3 linked regions of the Drosophila melanogaster genome follow. The protein of the gene in region 2 interacts with the protein of the main gene of each other region in a pairwise test. Each region holds a gene or a part of one and is shown on either strand. Other genes may lie near its edges.

The links. Proteins that work in one complex are often made in the same cells at the same time.
Region 1: the proteins of CG13168 (region 2) and CG15919 interact in a two-hybrid assay, tested with the Drosophila melanogaster proteins (one large-scale study listed by BioGRID).
Region 3: the proteins of CG13168 (region 2) and hoe1 interact in a two-hybrid assay, tested with the Drosophila melanogaster proteins (one large-scale study listed by BioGRID).

Annotation. Positions count from the first base shown.
Region 1 is NT_033778.4:16,788,166-16,795,014, reverse strand, and holds CG15919 (uncharacterized protein), read right to left. Parts: upstream 2,374-6,849; 5' UTR 2,359-2,373; coding exon 2,234-2,358; intron 2,143-2,233; coding exon 1,935-2,142; 3' UTR 1,836-1,934; downstream 1-1,835. Other genes in the region: CG15615 (uncharacterized protein), read left to right, coding at 315-620, 700-771, 833-922, 984-1,061, 1,127-1,270, 1,330-1,707; RalGPS (Ral GEF with PH domain and SH3 binding motif), read right to left, coding at 3,664-4,276, 4,749-4,859, 5,100-5,303, 5,380-5,831, 5,897-6,224, 6,349-6,689, 6,755-6,814.
Region 2 is NT_033778.4:12,250,447-12,258,525, reverse strand, and holds CG13168 (uncharacterized protein), read right to left. Parts: upstream 4,535-8,079; 5' UTR 4,166-4,534; coding exon 4,162-4,165; intron 4,106-4,161; coding exon 3,511-4,105; intron 3,455-3,510; coding exon 3,305-3,454; intron 3,253-3,304; coding exon 2,919-3,252; 3' UTR 2,825-2,918; downstream 1-2,824. Other genes in the region: Vha36-2 (vacuolar H[+] ATPase 36kD subunit 2), read right to left, coding at 1-571, 647-1,171.
Region 3 is NT_033779.5:4,928,050-4,936,973, reverse strand, and holds the start of hoe1 (hoepel1), read left to right. Parts: upstream 1-4,589; 5' UTR 4,590-4,881; coding exon 4,882-5,060; intron 5,061-8,580; exon of another isoform or gene 8,581-8,780; intron 8,781-8,924. Other genes in the region: hoe2 (hoepel2), read left to right, coding at 633-861, 1,064-1,465, 1,539-1,711, 1,789-2,134, 2,190-2,578, 2,636-2,962, 3,015-3,689.

The DNA.
Region 1 (6,849 bases), 4.5 Mb from region 2:
AGACCCGAAAAGTCTTTGGCCCAGCATGATTTGTCATCAGCTAGCTCATTTGACCCAGGTCAGGCATTGTATGAAATTATAAACATCTGGGGTTATGCAACATTTCTTTGTCGGTCGCCCAAAAAACAATGCCAGACTCTGACCCACTTAAAACTGGTTTTCAGTCACTCACCTTTCTTTGGAGAATATGGAATTCATTAACATGATCGTTGCGAATTCAATTTAAACAAGCTTTCTTCATGCCCGAGTTCGTTGTCTCAGTCTTTTGATTTGTATCTATTAACTACAAGCATAAACTTCCACGCTCATTTCAGTTGGGTCTGCTCGGTGTGCTCTGTTTGGCCATCGGAGGCAGTCAATCCAAGGCTGTGGTGGATCAGCAGCCTGCAGCTTCCCAGGTGGATAGCAAAAGTGTCGCTCAGCAGAGGATCGATCTGGGATTGGGTCTGGGCGATGACCTGATCCACGACCACCATCACGAGCACATAATCGAACATCACGAACATCATCACGAGCACCATGACCCCGGGTACTGGAAGAAGAAGGTCACTTGGAAGGAGGGATGGAAGAAAATTTGGAATCCGGCTAAGAAACAAATCTGGAATCCTTCATGGAAGAAGGTAAATAGCTTAGTCTATAATAAAATAAATAATCAATATATTTAGGGATTGAGTACAATTTTAATTATGTCTATCACAGATCTGGAAGCCACATTGGGTGAAAGTGCCCGGCTGGAAGGAAATACAGGTTCCAGCTTGGAAACAAATTTGGGTATGTTCTAAATTTAACTCTCAATGAAAGTGCAATTAACTATATACACTCTGTATATTAGGTTCCTCACTGGAAAGAGATTTTAGTGCCAGCCTGGAAGGATATTCAAGTACCCGATTACAAGCAGATCTGGACACCAGAACTAGTCAAGGTATAATGGAATATACATTTACCTTTAAGTGCATGTAGCTAAGAATCATGTTAATTTAAAGGTTGGCATTCCCGGAGAAAAATATTTGGGCAAGGATCACGAAGGTTGGGAGTACACCAGCCACGATTTGTGGAAGAAGGTTGGTTGTAAAATATATTTTAAGTTTAAGGATGTTATTTAAACACTTAAATCCCGAATGTTTAGAAAGTGGTCTGGAAATCGCACTGGAAGAAGATCTGGAAGCCAGCCAAGAAGCAAATCTGGGTGCCAGAGAAGAAATTGGAGTGGAAGGAGGCATGGAAGCAGTACTGGAAGCCAGCGAAGAAGGAAATCTGGACCGATAAATTGGTATGTTTATCATACTAATCAGAAATAAAATCCGAACTAAATATTCCAACTCTTTTCAGGAATGGAAGGAGGCATGGAAGCAGATTTGGGTGCCCGGCTGGAAGGAGATCTGGGTGCCTGGATGGAAAAAGATCTGGAAGCCAGTGGTCATTTCAGAATGGTTCCCCTCGCCCGATCACCACGATCATCATCATCATGAGCACCATGATTGGGATCGCAAGGACACAGGTGTTACGGCCACCAGGACGGCAGATGGCAAAGATAAGGTGGTCTGGAAACGAGATGACACCAATGCCGCTGGCAAGCCAACAATGCTGCAGCCAGTGGCCAGCGCCGACTTCCAGGCCAAGTCTCTGGAGGCAGCTAAATCCCCCGTAGCAGCACCTGCCGCCTCGGTGGCCACCACCTCGCAGTCATTCAAGTTTCCCGGCGCGTAGGAGGTCATTGCATCACCTAAACGGTTGCATAACAGCGCCCGGTTCCAAGCTCCTTGTAAATAGTCGTAAACCAGTCGCTAGCTCATAAGGCCATCCATTTCCACTTCCATTTGCCTTGGCGCCACTTTAAATTATCTCTAGACTTTAATTACCAGTGAATATAAAATAAAATATAAACAACTAAACCATAAATAATCTTAGCCTATGTTTCAGTCTCAGTGCTATTTTTAGGAGCGATCCTTTTCCGCCTCCCATTCATTGGGCACATTGGGCAAGGGCACCCACTCGTTGTGAATGGTGGGTGTCCAGACCTTTTTCCACACCGGCTCGTAGATCTTCTTGGCCCGCCAGTACTTTACCCAGCGAGCGTTCCACGTCGTCTTGTTGACCCAGAAGCCATCGGCCTGCGGATCGAGGGTGTCTGTGTGGCTAACGCTGGGTTTTTCGAAAGGGAGAAAGGAGGATGGATTAGTGGATTAGTTAGTGAAAGTGGTCTAGTGGCTGGCTAGTTGCGTAATCCTCTCACATGGTGGTCGTCTTGCCGGCCAGGCCGTAGCTGAAGAAAATGACCAATATTACTGTCAGCATCAGCAGGGGCCTCATTTTAATCCATGGATACGCCATCCTGTCGCCACTTTTCGCCGCTTTCATGTTTCGCAATCGACTGGCGAGGCTATTAGCCAATCTTCACGTTTTAAAGGCCTCCAGTTTCACGGCAAGCCGAGCTCCCTAATTGTGATTCAGTGCGTCTGTGCAAATGAATTGCAAATTCCCGCACTTTGCACGATCTGATTGGGTTGTGAATAACCCTAGATGCCTTATATAACGCACATTTCTTTTCTTTCATTTTGTAGTTTATTTTGTTTTTGTTGCATTTCTTTCTTAAATGTAATGTAAAACACTGCAAATGATAATCTGTATGTGTGACAAAGCTTAGGTGTTACAATTCAATTTCTCAACCGAAAAAAAGAAACACTAACATTACTTTCGTTTCCTATAATTTACGCATGCATTTGTTGTTGATACGTACATATGTACTTTATAGCTCTATTTATGTCTAGTGCATCAACTTAAGGCAGATATAGAGATTAACGGATGTTGATCATGATAGTGGTAGCGATACACAATATTAAAGCCCTTAGTTACGCGTAGAAAGTTCGTTGGATTTTTGATTTTTCGTTACAAAGTTAGGAGCTGGGCAAATCGAATTTGGATTCGTTTGCTGGCCAACAGTGTTTGTGTAGACACATAAATTTATAAACTAATATGGCACAGTCTGCGCAAAATTAAGTTGAGTAAACGTCCAAGTAATTTACTTAATATAACATTTTACAAATACAAAGTACAGCAAAGACAGCACATTAACAAAAAGACAGCCCTGTTGCCAAGCTAAGCGAATTCGGAAATAAACTGGTTTTTAGCTAGTAGTATTGGATCCCATTTACAGATTTTACTACATTTCTAAATTCTGGGTCACTGAACAATCTTAAAATAAATATATATTCGATGACAAGCCGTTTTATCAATTCCGTTTCCGATACATTCAAATTCAAATAAAATTGGACTTTTATAACAGGGCCATTACAAATTTGGGATTCTAATTTCCCTGCGTTGACGGTTTAGTCTGTTGTTGTTGTTGTTGTTGTGATTGTGTGGCTACTTTCGTAGTACTGCTCCTCCTTTACTATATCTTCGTGTTCTCATTCGGTGTCAGTCTTTTGAAATACCATTTTGAAATCGATTCATCTGATGCAAGCTGCAATTTGTTCGTTCGTTGTGGTTGCGGGAATGTTCTGTGGTTGCCTCGTTTCAGGGAGTGAGTGAGCGATGTGGTGGGTGGGTGTTTTTTTTTTTGGCTGTGCACGTTTCAAGGTTTAAAGCTAACTAAACTAGATAAACTAGGCTACAATGAGTACAATATATATTCGAGTTTCTGTGTGTTCTTGGGCGCCCGGCTTATTCAAAGGACATTAGGTTGGTGGGCAGAGGTTTGGGCACTCGCATGGTGGCCAATTTGCAAATGGCATTCGACCAGAGATGCGTCATCTGGGGACTGTCCGTCCGGAAGCGATAGACGGTGCCCAGAGTTCGGTGGCACAGTTCGAAGGTGTTCTTGTGCTTGGTGTTATCGCTCACGTGGGCATACCATCCATCCAATGGACACACTTTGCACGGTTCCCGCTTAAAGTCGTTGCGTTCGCTTCCTTTAAAGGATTTGGGTGGGAAATACACCAGCGAGTTGGCCCAAATCTGTAGCCAGTATCGTTGCCAAGATGCCACCGCTGGCTTCCTTCCCTCCTTTTGAACTGTTTTACGCCGGACACATCCGTGCATGGCGGCTGCTGCCTCTGGTGACATCAAATCGCAATCGCTGCCGGTAAAATCACACATAATTCCCTCTGCACTTTCCAACGATGTTAGATCTGCTTGGGATAGGGCATCGCTGTGCTCCAAGACCGAATCATCTAGCAGGTGGTGACGAGGCTGCACTTGACTCGGATCAAGTTCCAGGTGCAGGTGGTGAGGATGTCCATCGCTGTGGTTGTGCGTTGCAATCTTGCCAAAAATGCTGTAAAAGGAGAAAATGGTTTAGTCAAGATATTCTTGCGGGTTGGAGCCATTCATGCTGTTCATACAAATGAGAAGAAATGAAATAGCAAAAAGGCAAACAAGGGTGAACTGCGATTCGTATTTGTAGGTTATATCGATTTATTCTCAGCATAGAATTGACTAAGGTTTCTTGTTTAAAATAAATGCGATAGAACCTTCTAATATGTTCGGGGAAGTTGTGTGCGTAAGGTTGGTGAGTAATGCATGGTTTCCCAAATCAAAATCAAATGAAATGAGTCAAGTGTTGGGTCGTGTATTTGTGTATATCATAGCATTTTCAACTCGGGTCCGTGCAAAAGAAAAGAAAATGAGGAGACGATAACTGAACACATCAAATGTTAAAATGAGGATAACGCATCGAATCAGTAGTATTCAGTATCAAGCTGGCAATACACACATATCCTAGCTACAGGACTCTGTTCTGGACTCACCGACGGCATCTGCAACGCTTGTTGGAGATGGTGCCGATGCCCGGCGCAATCATGACGATGCAACATTGGCACTTCTCGGCAAAGTTTCGCGGCAGGCTGCTGCTGCGAAATCTTCATTCGTTTTGGGCAGAGGCGGATGTTTGACAATTAACGAACACACACACAAAACGAAAGCATAAGACAAAAGCAAAACGGTAGAAGTGAGAGACATAGAGATTTAAACGATTAATAAGGACCCAGTGTACAAATGTCCAATTCTTGCGCAGTGATTCGAGGTGGTGGATTTCAAACAGGTGGTTAACAAGGGAAGCCAAGTGTTGGCTCTCAAAACGTAGGATTCCTTTTACTTACTTGGTGCCCAGACTGCGACACTTGCGATGGCCTGGCACAAATTTTGTGCCGCTTGCCATTCGCATGGAGCCAATGGTTTTGGCCGGCGAGAGATTTAGGCATCCAAGGGCCGGAGTAACTACTTCCACATTGAAGGACTCTTTTGAGCTGCAGGACGAAGAACTGGGTCCAGAGGGCGACGCAGGTTCCAGGTTTAGAGAGCGCCTGAAAGGTTAATGAGTATTATAACAGCATTATTTTTAGATAAGAAAACAGCTCGGATTCAAAAGATTAATCTTACTTGTACTGATCCTCCTCGAATATGTTCTGCAACTCCTCTATATACCTTATCGAAGTCAAATACTTTTGTGTCGCCTCATGCTTCTGCAAATGCTTATAGTTCGACTGTTGATAGTTCGAAATTACACGCAATATATTGTTCATCTTATTGCGACGCTGCTCTGGCTCCAATCCGCCCTTATGTGGGTGGGCCAAATCGATGTAGATCAGATCGGTGAGAAAGAGACCCAGATAGGGGATGCAGGGCAGGCGGAGGCTCTCGAGGTAGGAGCGCAGATTCGCCCAGTTGTCCTGATCACTGAATATATCGCTGAGGCGATCGAATGCATTTCGATCCTTTTTCGATAAGCAAGCCCAGGTTTTAGTTAGGCGATATATGCTGGCGCTTTGCATGGCCGAAATAATGGCAAACAGCGAGTGCAGATTGTTGAGCTCGTGGAGTTTTTTGGCCACCTAAAAGGGAAACATTCAATCAATATGTGAACCGACATATTATTTGGGGGCTCAAGTCTACTCACCTTTATAAAGTGTGTAATAATCTCGGCTCTCTGCTTTGGCTGCTCGGCATTGAGAATCTCCTGGACTGTCCAAAAGCTCGTGTGGTTAAATCGCTTAGTAAATGCCACAATGTTCGGCGTATTGACATGCTTATCCTTTTTCGTCCACGCACAACTGCTCAGCTCATCCGGTTGGATCTGGGCAAAGACTGGGAAATCCAGTAGCGTAATCTGATTAGCCAACACATCGGCGGGTACACGTAACGCGCTCAAAATAACCGCATCCAACTGCTTGATGGAGGCGTGGGCTGGTAAACTTTGCGACTTGGACGGTGGTGCTGCCGAGGCTCTACAAATTGAAAGAACTGTGCTTAGTGGGGAATTCATTTGTCTGAAACTTTGGATGCCGAGTAACTACTACATACATATACAAATTGTATAAATATGCCGAGCTCTAACTACTGATTACTTACGCTATAGTGTAGTAGCAACCAGGCGAATCTGGCGAGGAGGAGAAACTATTCAAACAACCGATGGAATTCTTGCGGCGCGTGCTCTTGATATTTAGAGTTTTGCTGGCCTGCGGTTGCATACTGGGCGGTTCCATTTGCTGCTCCTTGTAGGTCTTCTCCTGGCGCAAACAGGCCATGGTGTGGGCACTACCATTGGTATTCGGACTTCGTTGCTTGGACACCCGAGTTGGCTGCTGCTGCTGTTGTGAAGGAGGAGGAGGAGGTGAGCTCTGCTTGAATTGAGTCGCGGCATAGGCCTGACCCGTATATCCATTATAGTCCGTGGTGGGCTTTCTGCTTAACTGAAATAACGTAAAATCTTTAATATCGAACTACAATCGAGTGGGAAGAAGGTATAGATAGCCACCTCTGAGTAGCGCAGATTATCCGTGGACAGGTCGCGTGAGATTTCCGAGTATCGCATCATGGCAGCCAACTCCGGCTGTCGTTGCACTTCGACAA
Region 2 (8,079 bases):
TTACGACATCTTTCGACATCTGGCTGGATCTGCGCTGAGTTTCCTGGCTATTACGCGGAGGAGTATCGGACTTCCTTTCGGTCACATTACTGGCGGACTTCCTTTCCGGTCCGGAGGAGAGGAGCATCCGCTTGGTGCTGTACAGATCACCACTGCTGGCTCGCGGATCCCGCTGGCGACCAGCGAAACTCAACGAGGCTCCGTGGGTGGTGATGAAGGATGTGGGCGGTGGGGGCTCGCCCCGCTTGATGGCCTCCTTTCTCTCCTGCTCGCGGCGCTGCTTTAGGGACAGACGGGCCTCCCGCATGCGCCGCTTCACCTCACGCTCCTCGAACTGCTCCTGATCGAAGGGTGTGTCGGCCGCTGGAGGACGCGTCTGATTTATGTTTCGCTTTATGTAGGTCTCCAGCTCCTCGTCGGTCATGTTCTTGGTCTTGATCAGCTCGGTGAAGGCCATCTTGGCCTCCAGCTGCTTCGCCTGGGAGCGTTTCAGGCGATAGAAATCCTCGCGCTCGAACTCCTCCAACTCGCCGCATATATAGTTATAGGTATTTTGCAGGATGGGTATTACCTTGCGGATACAAAGTGATATTTATTGAAGATTATCCATGATAACATATGGATCATATGAATTAATTATAATTACCACATGCTCCAGAGCATTGACCCTCATGTTGGTCTGCAACGAGGCTGCCTCCAGCATTCGCACTTGGTATTCCAGAGAGGCGAACTCCACCAGTGCCTTGAGTGCCTTCGTATAGGAGTCCCTGATTCGGCTCACTTGCATACCGCCACAGCTGAGACCAGCCAGCGGAAAAGCGCCCACGCCCTTCGTCTCCAGCTCCAGGGTGTTCAGCTTGACGCCCACAATTTTGATCTCCGTGCGGCGTAGCGATACGGTTGCCACGTGGCTGCGGCTTACCATCTGCGGCTTGAAATCGGCGCCCAGAAGATTGGCCTTTGCCATCGAGAATATGGCATTGCGCATCGCCTCATCGCCGTGCATGTCCTGGTCGAAGCGGATGCGACGCAATTCGCGTAGCTTCATATCGATGGCGTCCCGCTTCCGCTTGAGGAGACCCACGCCCCTTCTAGCCGCCAAAACGCGCTGCTTCATGATCACCGAATTGGCGCGGGATGGAAAGATGGGCAGGATATCGCGTTTGGCCATGGCGGTGACTTTGGAATTGGACTCTGATCACGTAGAGTTTGAATTTGGCCGAATTGTAGACTTTGTTACAAACGAATTACTGATGTGAGTATAAAAACATATGTATATTTTTAAAACCACGCTTATAAGAGGTTTTCAAATGCTTATGGAATAAATATGAAAATTGTGGAAGAGTGCTATGAATTAGCTGGGATTTTATGACTCAATCGGCAAAAAGTCAACAAATTTACTCCCTTGAATTCTTTTCGAGCTTATCAAAACTTTCAATTTGTATAGTGAATGCAGTGGTGTATATTATAAATATTTTGTATGAATAAGAAATTTTAGTGCTTGCCAAAATAAGAATTAGAAATGAATAGTTATTTTAGGCTGTAATTATACTAATTAAACTATTTATCAATCAGTTAAATGAATTGTTAACCCTATAATTGAAAAAAAAAATACCAAACAAATTCCTGATCCGCCAAAATCATTTTAAATTACTCATACGCATAGTTGCCTATGGAAAATTACGCATACGCAACGTTGCCTTATCTATGCCTGATATTTAAAACAGCATTTTTATTTAGCTCTCGAAAATGATGTTTTAATTTACATTAGCTTAATCCCTAGAAAATGGAATCATTCACATATAATACATTTGTTATTTGTGCTAAAGATAATGTCCACAAATCGGCAAACCAGCGAATGCGTGTGTGTGTGCAATTACAATGCGGAACGTTTGACCATTCCACTGGGATTTCACATTGCCCATTGGACAGTTGGCCACTGGACACCATTGGACGGCGATTTTGCCCATTTTCCAGCTGCCGTACGATTTCCTTTGCCGCAGCGAATTGTCGCAATGTGGCGCCGCTTGGTGCAACGCAGCCTTGGCGCATTTGCAACGCATGCCAACAAGTTAAGTATGTTAACCTCTGGAAAATTAGACATGCCACAAGGGTTGGTGGTGCGGTGTGAGCTGGGCGTTGGGCGGTGGGTGGTGGGTGATGGTGTGGCAATAGCGATGGCTAGGTAACGAAAACGAGAATGAAAATGAAGTAACAATGCAGCAAACATCGGGCCAAAAGAGCGTTTGTAGTTGTCGTTGTCGTAGTCGTTGTCGCTTGGCGACGACAGCAATGCGCCATTTTTCGTTCGCCCCGCAAGACATGAAAATTTGGCTTTTCCCTCCATCGCTGTATGTGTGTGTGTGTGTGTGTGTGTGCGTGTTGGGTAAACATTCTGCCAGGCGTTTTCATTCTCTCTTGGATTTTCGCAATCGCAGGGAAGCCACACATTTCGCCCTCTGACCCCATAGAAAAAACCGCGTTGACAATGTCTTAGGCGAAATTTATCGCAGTTCAATAGAAAAATATTTAATAAAATTGGTTAGCCTTGCTGAATAAAGGAAATAATCATTTCTTTACTCTAGAATATATAAGAAATTCCAGAAAATTTCTGTGTGTTGTCAAGTGCCAAGTAAACACGATTTAATTGCGAGTAAACATTTGCCTTTTCTCTTATGGAAATATTAATTTGCATACATGGGTACTTATGCATGCTTAGTGATTTTCATGCCACAAAAGCTTGCAAACAACAAATGAGCTCAAGCAAACATAACTTTTTAGCATGTGACAGTTTTAAAAAATAATGAGAAAACAGGATACATATATACACGTTAGTAGTAGTAGAAGGTTGGAATATATTCGTATTTCTACATATAAATTGTACAATGTAGAAATATACAGAGATCCGGTTTGGGACACTACTTTCCCTTCTTGCCCTTGCCCTTTCCCTGGCGCTTCCTCTTGCGCTGATCCTTCTTCCACTTGCGCCAGTATTTTTGAATCTTGCCCGCCGCCCGGTTCATCATGAAGATGACCAGCTTCTCCTGCTGCACGCGACGTTCCTCCTCCTCTCGCTTGACCACGATGTTCTTGTAGATGCGCTCCTCCTGCCTGTACTGGACCATAAAATCGTCGAGGACCTTCTTGGCAGCCAGATACTGATCCTCCGCCACCAAATTCTCACGCATCTTTTCGCCCAGGCTGGTATCGTACTTCTTAAGCATACTCTGCAGTTGCAGGAGCAATTTGTTTCTATAAAGGATTGAGAGCACTTAAATAATAAATTACTCGATTTGTAGCTTACTTTTCGCTTCGCAGCTCGTGCTCTTCGGCCAGATGCTTCTTGGTCATCTTCTCGTAGCTCTCCCGGGCATTCTGCAGCTCCTCCTCCAATTCCTTCTGCCTGTCCATGCTGCTCTTGTGGTAGCTTCGCATCGTGCGATGGCACTTTTCACTGTAATTTGTAAATATATTCAAATAAGAATTTCTAGAACTAGAAATCCGAGTTACATTTCGTTCTGAATGGCCACGTTGTTCTGCCACTTCTTATTGGCCAGATCCTCCTCGACCTTCATCAGATAGATGCCCTTGGCGGCCGTCTTCCATTTGCCAATCACCTTCTGGAAGGCCAGGCTCGCCTTCAGTTCCTTGATTTTCTTCTTGATGTCCACATTCTGATGAAAGATGGCATGGAGCTTTCGCTCCTTGGTAATCTCGCTACGCGAGGATCGGTGCAGATGGACGTGGGCGCTCTCCAGGAGAAAGTGAAAGGCGGCCAGCAATTGGCGATCCCTTTCGTTTAGGTTCTTCTTCAAGTGCGGAAAGAATCGATGAATGCTATGGTTGACCAGGAAGAAGTCCACGATTCGCATGGTGGTGTGGTCATGTGGCAGCTTGGAACGTCCACTCTGCTTGCCAAGGTGGCGGATCATGTCATCGATGGGCTCGAGAACCTCCTCATAGCAGGTGTCCTTCAGGACGCTCTTCAACTTCTCGGGATTCTCCAGCAGCTTCGGTATGATCATCGCTATCTTGATGCGCTCCTGGGACATCTTGAGCACACGTTCCACTCCTTCCAGTCTCACCTGACGTTCGGCGGTGGTATCTGGAAGGAAAAAGGATATGACTGGTTTTGTCTTAAAACATTCATTTTATACTAACCCATTTTTACTTAGCAGCTTTACGGATCCTGGCGCATATATAAAATCCTCATTGAAAGATTTTCGTTTACACAGACATTAATAACTTTACAAAATTTCCTTTTTGCGATATAATTGTGTGCCGGGTTCTTTTAAAATGTATTAATTTAAACGACTCTCGGATACAACAGGAATTTTCTATTTATTATTAACGAAATCACGAAGTTAAAGCAGATAGGTGCAATTAATCTGCCGCAACCTGGAAAGTGAAGCTTTTTTTTCCATTAAATGTTCTTGAGCGTATTTCACTTGTTTGAATATTCTTAACTTCTATGCTTCTTTTGTTTTTTCTATAATTTATGTTTTTCCGATTTTCTGGCTATGCTTGTGTCGAGGTCTTTTTGAATTCTGAGCCGAGTTTGTTATTGTTTTTGGGGATAAACAAACATGGCTTGCTATGTTGACCGTGTTGCCTGGTTGCAAAGCCAAAGAATATATACCAAATAGAAACCCTTTCGATCAAGGAGCAACTGAAGAAGGGGGCGTGGCGAGGGGCGGTAAATTTGAATGGCACTTTCATGGCAATGACTGGTAGAAACTTTTGCCAAGTGCAGTAGTCGACAATGAAGAGTGTGGGGCGGTTTTCTAGGGGGCGGTGGGCGCTCGCCTTCGGTGGGTGGCTTGTTGCTTGTGTGTGGCCATGTCGCATTATGTCAACTGACGTGGCATGAATGAAAGCTGCTGCAGCAAAGCAAACGAGGGAAAATGCGCTGCAGAGGGGCTTGCTGGGAAAAAAGAAAACCATAAGAGCATGAAACGAACTTGTGAATGCAGAACAATGTTGGTGGGTGGGGTTGGTGGTGGTGGTGAAATGTTCCTCACTCAGGTGGAAAATCTACCTAATGAAACTGGCATGAAAGGGGGAGCCACAGAGTGAATGTAATCTGGGAGCCCTTCGCTGCAATCTGCCAAAAATCGGATTCACTAGTACAGTGGAGTCTCAGCACATCCTACCTAATTTAATTTTAAATAAATTTTAGTTACTTAGACGAAGTAATAATATAATAAGGGTCAGTACTTTTTCTTAAAATGAATAAATATATAATATGTTATAACTAAAGGCAGTAGTAATTGCATAAATGAGCTAGCAAATAAAATGCTGCAATGCGAACCAACTAAAAAAAGGAAGGGCAAGATGAAAGGGAAGAAAAATAAAATTGAGCAAGACATAATATTTGTTGTTGCCTTTGCAAAAAGAGAGATGTGTGAGAAAAAGCCAAAAGAAATGACGCATAAACAAGCAGAGAGAGCAAGAAGAGAGAATGTGCTTTCAAAGTGTGCAGCAAAACGTGTAAAGTAAAAAGGGACATAACAAGAGAGAGAGAGAGATTCAGAAAGAGAGAGCGAGCGCCTCAAGTTATGCATCGAAATTTGAAATTCAGGAGTAACGGGAGAGCGCCCTACAGTATGCAGCCAAATAAGGCAAGTCTGCAGAGAGAACGAGAGTCTTGCGCACACGTATACGTAACAAATGGCCATGCAAAGCACGAACGCAGAAAAACGCTAACGGTACTGCAAAGGAGGTGCAGGGCAAAAGCAAAAATCCAAAGCCAAAATGGTTCGCTCTCCTGCTGGTGGCCCACATTCGCTCAGCTGAGCTCGGCTTTACCGTTAACCGATTAGAGACTTACCGCTTACCATTTACCGTTTCGGGCCGTCTGGCCCTGGCTCATTATGTCCCGTTGCCTTGGCAGTATTGTTGTATATTTTTATAGTCGTCCTCACTCGACAGTTTCCTTTTGAGTTCTATTTCTCCATTTCCATCCCCTCTGCACATCTGCTCTCACATAGATTTCACAGAAATGTGGGCCCGTTATGCTCGGCCTGGCCGCATTGCAGCTATAAATTTGTTTGTGGTTCACATTTGCCTTGGAAGATTACTTTTGGCCATAGTCGTCGCGCAGAAGTGGGCGACAGAGAGGGAGAGGCGAGAACAGCGGAGATACCGCGGAACAATGGACTCAAGGAAAGGGAAACGAGAAACAAGAAACGACTAACTAACTGTGCTTAATGGTGGGTGGTGGTTCGTGGCTAGGGAATGGTGGGGATGGGGAATGGAATGGAATGGGGTGGAAACCCCATAAAGAACCTTTTTGAGAAAGTGTTATTATAATGCTCGGGCTGCCATCGGGAAGGTCAGGTTGTTGGGTCTCGTACCAGCGGAAGCTAAAGATATGCCCCTGGGTCTGGTCTTCCTTTGAGCAGGATGGCTTGGTATTTTCACGATAAAATACGAATTTAGTTTGCGGTAGTTTCGCTTTAAAGAAAATAGATCTAGATTCGTGTTAGGTTGTGGTAGTTTGAGATGGGATTATAAGAGCAGTGTTTATAAACAGATTTAGATTTTTAGTTCTTAGAAACCTTGAAACTTAACGAGAACATCTTATAATATTTTTTCAAAGTTATACTTTCACTATTGGCTTCTCATTAAGAGCGACTTAACGAATTAAAGCATTCGTATGAAGGCGCTTTTCCGGGTAAATTATAGCCACGGACAGGATTATTATGCCTCGGAGTACAGTACAGTTATAGTTTCCTTTTCCCACAACTCGATTGTGCTCGGAAGGCATTCAGTTGCCGCGCAGGATCCATTTGGCCGGGCACCTGGTTTTGTCACCTGAGCGAGGACCAAAGGAAGCGCTCGCACTGGCAAATGAAGTGGCACCCAGCCCAGTTCTCGCCCCATTGAATCCTGTCGCCCACCTGGACAACTTTCCTCTGAATTTTTCATGGCTTTCTTGGTGTTTTTTTTTGGTAATTTCTCTGTCTTTTTTTTGGGTTTTTCCCTGTCTTGTTTCCGTTTGGCAGTTACACTTTTGGACTGTAGTTTTTGGATCTGTTCCGAGGCAGTCTGGCATGTATTTTGAGTTGGTAATGTTTGGCACATTTTATGGAGCAACTTGCACTCAAGTTGCCCCGAGAACTTTTGGCTTTTGCTTCCGTTTGGTTTGACTTGCCAACCTTCTCTGTAATTTGAATGTTCTGAACTGTGAAGCGAGCGACAGAACAAACTGTCGTTCAGAACCTGCAAAGAGTTAACTTGGCTAACAAAGTGTATCCAGCCAAGCCAAAGCCAAGCCACCCAACCAGCCTACCCATCCACTCGACTTGGTTGTTTCAAATTTTTGTTGCTATTAGAAAAGTTTCTGTTCGCTTTGGCGAGCATTTTTTTCCTCATTTTTTTATAATAATTTAATAAACTATCAAAAGTTTGGGAAAGATTTAGCTTTCGCTACGCTTGGAGAACAAACGAAATTGAAATTCAAGCAGCAAATCCAAATCAAGGATTCCAGGACCTTGGCAAGTTTATCAAAGAAATCCGGGCAAAAACAGTTTCAAGAAACTTTAATTGGATCAGCGTAGATATTGACATTTCCTAAATGGGGGCCGTTGCAGAAATGCCAAAGTAATTACATACTTAATACATACAAATAATATCCAATTACAGGCATTTTTGTATTAGCTATTAAGTTTACTTTTCTGCTTACATATTTTCATCACGCAACATTCATGTAGCTTCTGCTTCTGCGAACCTTTGCAGATACTTAATTATGATATAAGATGGATATTTTATTTCATACATATTTCAGCACGTGCTGACTATCGCCTGGCTGTGATCATCTTCAAATATTGTATTTATTATATATTTTCTGTTTGACCAAAGTCAACAATAAACGACAAAATGACCGCACGTGCACCGGGTTTGTTTGCCAAACCTCACTTCCGTCTCCCTCCCCCCTCCCATATCCTGACTTGCCTGTTTAATTTAGGCCAAAAGCAGCAAATGTCCGGGCCAAAATGATTGATGATATTGCGTTGCGAAAAAAAAATGGCGAACAAAATTCACTTGTTAGTGGTAAACCCAGCCGCTTACTTTCAT
Region 3 (8,924 bases), on a different chromosome or scaffold from region 2:
CTTAATCAAACATCTTTTTTAGCTTTTACTGTGCCGTAATTAAATGTGAGAAACCTATTTTGGCAGCCTAAATAATATGCATAAATTCTGTTATAATGAGCGAACCAATACAGTGGCTAATCCGTTTTTTCCCGAAGATTCAATAGGAAAAACGGACCACATGTCGTATGAGCAATTGAGTCCAACTAAGATCGGGGATGGCAAAAATTAATGGGTCAAGTAAATGCGTCTCAATAAGCCATTGTGTGGGTGCATAATGCAAACTTGTTGATAGGAATTGTGCCACCCCCGAATGAGGCGAGCAAAACATGGGAATCCACAAGAATATTTCGGCGCCTGCGCCATCCTGGAAATCGGCGAATATAAAGCTCCGTGGGACCGAAGGTCGGTGGGTGGTACGATGGCGATGGTTTTCACTTTCAATATTGAAAGCAGCGCCGGCGGCTGAATGGAAACCGAAACCCCGCAACTGCGTCGCGTCCGATTCGGATTTATATTCAGTCGCATTGTGCCTCGCGTGCGGCAAAGATGTCCGCGACCACACCTCGCTGACGACCATCTGTGAAATCTGTGGAAAAGCTCCCACGCTCCGTCAACCGATTTCCTCGCACTTCCCGCCGATTACCAGCAACATGGGTCTGCGGGACACCATTCGTAACCTACGGCCGGCAAGTCCCGGCCGGGAGAAGTCATCGGGCATCGAGCTGCAGCAGCGAAGTCCGCGAGGTGCATGCCACCACAATCAGGTGGCCGCCGTCCAGGTCACGGAGCAATCATTACAGGTATGGCGCGCACTGCCAGCAGAGATTCGCCACGATCCCAGCATGGCCAGTTTTCAGATGGAGAACGAGAGAATCCATGGTGAGTGAAGGGTGTCATTTGAAATTTATGGATGCCTATAGAAAAAATATTAATATTATTTTTCCTCTTTGCTCAGTACTAAGCCATATAGCTAAGCCATAGCCTTTAAATCAATAAACTGTCATACAAATGTCAATCCATTCCCTTGCTCAATCCACGACATAGATAGCTGGTTAATTACGTGACTGCCACTCACTTTTAGGTTCCTCCGGCGGCGCCACTGACGACGAGGATGAGGATGGATACGAGGAGGTGGATATGAAGAACGTCAGTCGCATTCAGGATGAGCCCGGCTCAAGCTTTGCCGGCTCCGACTTTCTGGACATCAAGAACAGGCCTGGTGATGAGAATGCCACCGACGATGAGGTCACCACCCACTCCGATCACGAAGCGGCCAATGGTGGTCCGGGTAATGCCAAATCACAGGCCCGCCGGATTCATCACAAATCCAAGCGTTCCAAGGAGCAGCGACAGCGGGACAAATTGTGGAAACGGGGTGGACTACTTGTATTTTGGATCCTGTCGGCAGTGGTGCTGATTTCGGTGGGCGAAAAGCATCTGCTGGAGAAGACCATTGATGTGCCAATGGGCGAGGAGGGAAAGTGTGAGTTTCCATCTATTTAGTTGATTTATTTTTATTTTTTTAATTTACATTGGAACATTGTTTTTCTAATTAGTTTTCAAGCTGCTCCAAAAACCCACTGGTGACTTCCGCTTGAAGATTCATGGCGCTTTTAGAGAGCTCTCCACGCTGGATGCCCCCGAAAATGAGACTTTGAGCTTTGGATTTCTGACTGTGCAGCCACAGGTGTCCACTTACATTGGCGAGAATCACAGCCAGGTGTTCCAGGTGAGTATTACATAACTACTGCACAATCGAATATAAAGTTGGCAAGATGTAAGCTTTTTTTTTTTTGGATTTTTCAGGATATACTTCCAGCGTGGCGTTTACCACTGCTCTCCGAGGAGGAACTGATGCTGCGTGCTCCGGCTGTGACCACCAATCGCACCTACCAGATGACTCAGGAGTTAGATGAAATGTTGGCTGGAAAGAACAGCGAATTTCGCTTGCATATCTATAGCGATGTGGAGGTGGATTTGGCCATTGTTCTGAACTATAATCCCTTGATAGTGAATGCCAGGACAGGGAGCATCCTGGCTGGTGTAATCCTGCTAATCTTCTATGCACTGCTTGTTTGGGAACTCTTCGAAAGAACCTTTGTGGCCATGATATGTTCCATTCTTTCGGTGACGACTCTAGCCTGTTTTAATGGTTGGTTACAGAACCCGGGTATTTCTTCATTTCTTAATTATTTGAAATTCCCCAGATCGTCCCAATATGGATGAGATTATCCAGTGGATGGACATGGAGCTACTGACTCTACTCTTCTGCATGATGCTGCTCATTTTGATACTGACTGAAACTGGCGTATTCGACTACCTGGCCGTATTTTGTTTCGAGATATCGGGTGGCAAGATCTGGCCCATGATATATAGTCTCTGTTTGGTCACCTGCCTGGTGTCCAGTGTGCTGGACAACATGACAACCGTGCTGCTCCTGACCCCAGTGGCAATCCGATTGTGCGAGGTAATGCAGTTGGATCCCCTGCCCGTGGTGATGGGCATTATAGTGCATGCCAATATCGGAGGAGCCCTGACGCCCATCGGAGATCCCATCAGTATTATAGTCAGCACCAATCACTTTATTGTGGATAATGTGGGTATAACATATAGGTTATGCAAGCTGTTATATAGATTTCCCCTACCTTTTCAGGATGTAACTTTTCCCACATTTGTGGCCCACACATTTCCAGGTGTCATTCTAGCAGTTATTCAAAGTTGTGTGTACCTGCGCCTCTTCTATCACAATATCGATGCACTGCGTCTCAATGAGCCCAAGGAGATGAGTGAGCTGCGTAGGGAGATGAAGGTGTGGCAGAGAGCCTTGAATGCAGTGGCCTCCTGTTCCAAGGATGCCCAGCTGGTGAGGGGAACGCTCCAGGCTAAGATTAAGCAACTGAAAAGGACCCTTAGAAGATTGCAAAAAGGTGTGGGCTCCACGGAGGTCTATACGAATACGCTGGACGAGCTCAAGCAGAAAGTAAGTGGATTTACTGAACTGGGATCTTTATAGCTGAGCAATCCATTTCCAGTACCCCATCAAAAACAAGACGCTGCTTTTGCAATCCGCTGGAGCCCTACTCTTCGTCATTGTTTGCTTCTTCATCCAATCCGTGCCGCACTGGAGGACATTACCCCTGGGTTGGGTGGCCCTGCTGGGTGTGATCCTGCTGCTGATCATCCTCAATCGCGATGACATGGAGCACTTGATGCACCGCATCGAGTGGACCACGCTGCTCTTCTTCGCCGCCATGTTCGTGATGATGGAATGCGTGGAGAGATTGGGAATCTTCGCCTGCATCAGTGAGCTCACCGAGCACGTTATCCTTTCGGTGGGAAAGAGTCATCGTCTGGCCATGGCCATCTTTATGATATTATGGATGTCGGCGCTGGCATCATCCATATTGGATAGTATTCCGGTGGCAGCCATAATGGTGAAGCTGGTGACCTCTCTGGTGGCCAAGCCATCGCTGGGACTGCCCCTCCAGCCACTGGTTTGGGCTCTGACCCTGGGCGCTTCGATGGGCGGAAATGGAACGCTCTATGGCGCATCAGCCAATGTCATTGCAGCCGGAATTGCCGAGCAACATGGCTATAAGTTGTCCTTCACCCGATATCTGAGAACAGTTTTTCCCATGATGCTGGGACAGATCACCCTGATGACTGTCTATCTACTGGTGGCGCATGTGGTCTTTGAATGGCATTGAGACTCCCTATTTAATACACATACTGAATAACATATTATTGTATCTAATGATGGAAAATGTTTTTCACTTCGAATCTAATCGTGTGTTTTTTTGTGTGAGTTTTACTGTAGTCTTTGTCCTTTTACATTCGCCTCTTGATGTGTTTCATGTGTTTTTGGCATATAAAATAAGAATATTTATATTTAAGCGTTCATTTGTGATTGGCAAATGTATAAAAATATACCATAAATATAAAAGTACACATGGTTTTTCGTTCGCCTTCGTGGAATTTGGCTGGACTGATGGAAATCACTTTTGGTAGTCCATCAAGGCGGTGTTTTTAATGTCGTGTGAAATGTTATAAATTTAGACTTTATTGTCTAAGGTCGAAGTGGGGAAATCGTGAAAATTCAACAGGCCATAAATACAAAACGAAGGAAAATTATAGATTTGATTTTCAAATTTCAATAAGAGGCAGTTCTACAAGTATTTAGATACATTTAAAATTCGAAGCGATGTCTGTATTTTAGAGATTTCAAAGCACAATATAAACATATAATAAGTTAAATTATAAATATCATAATTCTCGTGTTTTCTAGTTTATCCCATATGCACCTTGGTTTGGAAAACATAAACAAACGTAAATAATTCCTGAGACTGACCATTGCCAAGTTCAATGTTGACCAGAATATCCGCATATGAAAGTGCTTGCATGTACATATACATATATATTAAAAGCGAGTATATAGCATATAGTATATGGAAAGAAGACAACTGCTGGTCAATAAATGAGAATAAGACAATGTGGAAAAGCAGCGAGGGATTTCCTCGGGTGGTTGTTGCTATTTATTTGCTCTGCTACTGCTGCGCTTTCCACACTTTCCACAGCGCTCGTTCCATAGGTAAATTGTATTTTAAGTTCACAAACAAATGGCCACGAGGGATTGCGAATGGAGGAGGTGAAACGGAGGACCCGACCTGTCCGCCATGTGGAGAGGAGACTGCCAGCAGTTTTATGGCAGCCGCGAGAGGGAAAGTCGTGCCGACAACGACTGACTGAATTTTAATTAATTTGCGCCAAGGAATAAAGTGAAAATTGGAAATTGGCTTATTTGGCCCAGACTGGCCGCCCTGCAGGCCAAATAAAAATGTGATAAGCGTACGAAATTACGCCGAAATCGAGTTGGTTTTTTTTTTTGTAAGGTGAACCAAGATGACATCTCCCTATGGATACAGTAAGCCCACCTTTATGATAACGGACCACACTCGCGATCCGTATCATCTGCAGCCGGGTGATGACGACGACGATCGGGATGAGGATGAGGAGCGTCAGACGAAGCTGCAGGAGATCATCAGTTGGCTGCACTTGAATGCCAAGCATCGCAGCAAATGGTAAGTCGGCCGCATCAAGTATACGCCGCGGGTGGCCCATGCAAGTCAGCTTATATTGATATTAAGTATACGCCCGGTTGGCCACCGCCACTCGAAGTTTGAGTTGTTTATTTGCCCGGTTCCGTTTTCTCATTAGCCTGGCATTAAATTGTGCTGCAGGAGATGATGGACCCAAAACTTTTCCTTTTAATGTCCTGCTAAGCTTCTTAATAACGGTCCATTGGTTGCGACTTGTTTGTTTTCCGAGATGAAATCAACTCGAGGACATTTTGTGGATTTTAAGCCGCTGAGAGCCGCAACAGATGGTTTCCATTGAGATTGATTACAATTTATTTGTTTTTTAGTTGAAGCAGACACAGCAGTTTGTATATTTCATACTCCATATGCGTTGGAATTCCAGCAGAGTAATAAATGCGCTTTTCTTCGAAACTCTGATTGAAATGATACTCCTAATCCGAATTAATCATGTTTTTGTTTTGTTAGGGATTTTTTCCATTAGCTTGTGGTTATAACAAAATGCCAGGCACGAAGGTATTGTTGTATGCAATTTGTGTGAATAATTCGAAGAATAGTTGGCATATACCCATTTCCAATCCAAGCCAATCTTTTGTTCGAGCAATTCGCTTCTGGGAACTACCATTCGATATAGGTTGCTTATAATCGATAATGTAATACCTTGGACACGTGCAAAATAAACTGAAGTACGCAGTGCAATGTGGAGATTATAAATAAACAATGGGGAATAAATATTGACTTGCGTTGCATTATATTATTTTATTTATAGTTCTCTATTTCCGTTGGCAAATACGTGGTTCAGCAGCCTCCGCAGCTGTTTGTAGGTTTTTTTGTATTAAGTTAAGCATTCGAATTAAGTGTCGTATTCAAATTAGTGCACTCACTCCCACACAAAAATTATCGGTGTAGTGAAAACCTAGGGTAATGCGAATTACATACGCAGTTGGTCCTCAATTAAAAGTTCCGCCTTGTTAATTAACAATTAAAGGGAAAACTCGAGACGGTAAATCACTGAGTTCTCTGGTTTATAGCGCAGTTACACTTGGTTGCAATAGAGAAGGCTGCTCATAAATATACAGGGTGTGTGGAGTCGACTTACATACTTGGGAGCATTATAAAGCATTCATAAACAACGAATAATAAACAACAAAATATGTACAATAAGCAACAGAATTTCATACAGAAAATGATATATTTATATAAACTTAACGATTTTTCTTATAACTAGTTTCCGGGACACCCTGTTTCCATTTGACATATTCTTGACAATCAAACCTGAAGTGAGCTTAGCTTATTATATAAGCGCTCGTTATTTACATAATTATTGTTTATTTACTCACGCTGAGCATTTGTTGTATACATCTACGTCTTGACCATGTGTAGAATCCACTAAGTACTGTATGCATATTGGTTGCAATTAATTTGCATTTTTGCATTGGCTGATACCAAGTAATTACAGCTAACACATCGATAATTGCCGTTGGCCAATTGGCAAAGTTTATGGATACTAAAGAAAAGAGGGAAGGGTTAAATACAGTTGGGATTATGGGCTATAAGTTATTCGCACTGACAGCTAAACACTTTGATGTGGCTGCCCATTTTTACGCTGACTTTCTGACAAGCAAATGAAAAGTCATTCAGTAGTTTCAAGTCCACCCAGAACCACGTGATCCCTCCACGGAACATGCAACCCAAGTTTGGTGGTCCCACGATGACATACATATATGTATGTAGAGATATGTGTGGAAACTTGTCAATGGTTTGTTGGGTGGGTAGCTTGGTGGCATGAAGGAGGTGCGAATAACTATCCCTGTACATGAGGGTTTTCCGCTCACAATTTTCCAACAAACTGTAAATACACTTTTTCTGGTTGCCAAGGGATGAGCTTAGGGGCTGTAAAAGTTCCGGCTTGAATTTGGAATGTACTATGTGTCTCTATGGGGGCCAACCTTTGAGGCACAATTGAGTGGAAATGAATTATGTATTAGTTGTTATTATGAAATGGAATGTACTCAATAGCTTGGCTTATGTGGTATTACAGTTTTCAACCAACTATATTAATGTATTAAGAACGGAAATGTTAAGAGAAAGTAACTGCTGATAGCATTTAACCCATATAACTCCGAATCAACTGCACCCATGCCCCATATTATTCAGATGGATAAGCCGCAGAGACCTTGGGCGAAGATACAATTGTTATTGGAAGAAACACACCTATTGCGTCTCACTGTGGATATCATCAGCGTTATTATTACTATTATTGCCATCGTCTTATTGAATGTGGGTGAGGAAAATTGCGGAATAAAAGAGCATTAATATTCCAGCTTTAAAGTCGCTCAAATGTCAAACGGCTCGTGGCGAGAAATAATATATATATACACGAGTTCACTTTGAGTTCCTTGGAGTGTGTTTGCGTTTCATTGTCCGTGGCATTAGGGTTTTTGGGATTCGGATTGGGTCTCGCATTTGGATTGAGTTGGGGCACAGCAGAAGCTGTTTGCTGATAAACTCGCCTTTTGTCTGCCCATACAGAAGATACAAAAACGTACGAGAATGTGGCACACAAACCACACATGCAAATGGAACCGCGCGTGGACGTCTATATTGTCGGAATTGGAAGCTTCAGTGGGATTTATCAACTTTGGCCTATAAATAAACAAGCGGACGGCCTTAAATTTGATAAAGCTGCCTTTTTCTGCAGATTTCACTTTCGTTTCTGAGAAAGCCTCGAGAGCTTTCGGCGTGATTCTCTTAGTTACATACTCGTAAATGCTGTATCGTCTCATTTCCATGACTATTTTTGGGCTGTATGACAAGTGATTTAAATTCGCACTAATTGCTCGACCGGTTGCTCGTGGCTTCTAAGCTCTGAATAGCATTAAGTCTACCGATTAATTGAGCAGACTTAAGTTGGAGTAAACAAATGATTAGATTGTGTGAATCACATGTATTTATTGCAGATTCACCACCCATAATAACTTATTGAATACAAAATATTTTCAAGACATTAGACAGAAACAAAGGTAACCAATAGTAACCGAATATATATGTTATTATTAGACTTAAGTGACTTAAGGTTCTATAAAATAATAATTAGCTATAATTAACCACCGATACAAATTAGTTGTGCGTGAGATACTTTTAAAGCACTCTTCTCATAAAATAAACAACTAAAATTCTGCCGGTCTAAAAGACGCAAGTTCAAGTTGTTGGCCATTGGAATCCGAGCGATTCCAGCTGAAAAAAAAACCTCGAGGCATTCAACAGCTATTGAAAGCAGCCAAGTTCCATTCAATTCTCGGCGGCGCTTTCAATGCGCCGTTCAACCGAAAACAGCTGCGACTTCGGCGCCGCACGAAGTAGCAACATGAGTATCGGAATAAGTAGCTATAGCTACGCCTGCATGGCATCGGATCGGCATCGGATGGGCATCGGATGGGCATCGGAATCGGAATCGGCAGTAACCGGCTGAAATAACTAGGAACGCGGCGCCGAGTCCGCAGATTTATTCAGTTTACAACTTTCGCTCGAAACGGACGTGCGACTTTGTCCGGCAATCCGCGTTCGAGTGGCAAACAATAGCTATACAAATAAATAGTAATCAAACAAGCGAGTGCACAATAGGGGCATAAAACAACAACAAGAGAAAAAAAAAGTAATTCAAACCTAAAGTGAGCTTATCATCGAATCTAACTTCTTAAGCAAGTGAGACTTTTCTTGGAAAGTTCAGGGTTGTGGCTGCAGCAGGTCGCTAGACAATCTAAAGGAGATAAAGGCACATTTAATTATGGAAATTTTTCCTTTGTTTCACGCGTATTTCCAGTTTCTTATTACCTCGGGATAATTTTG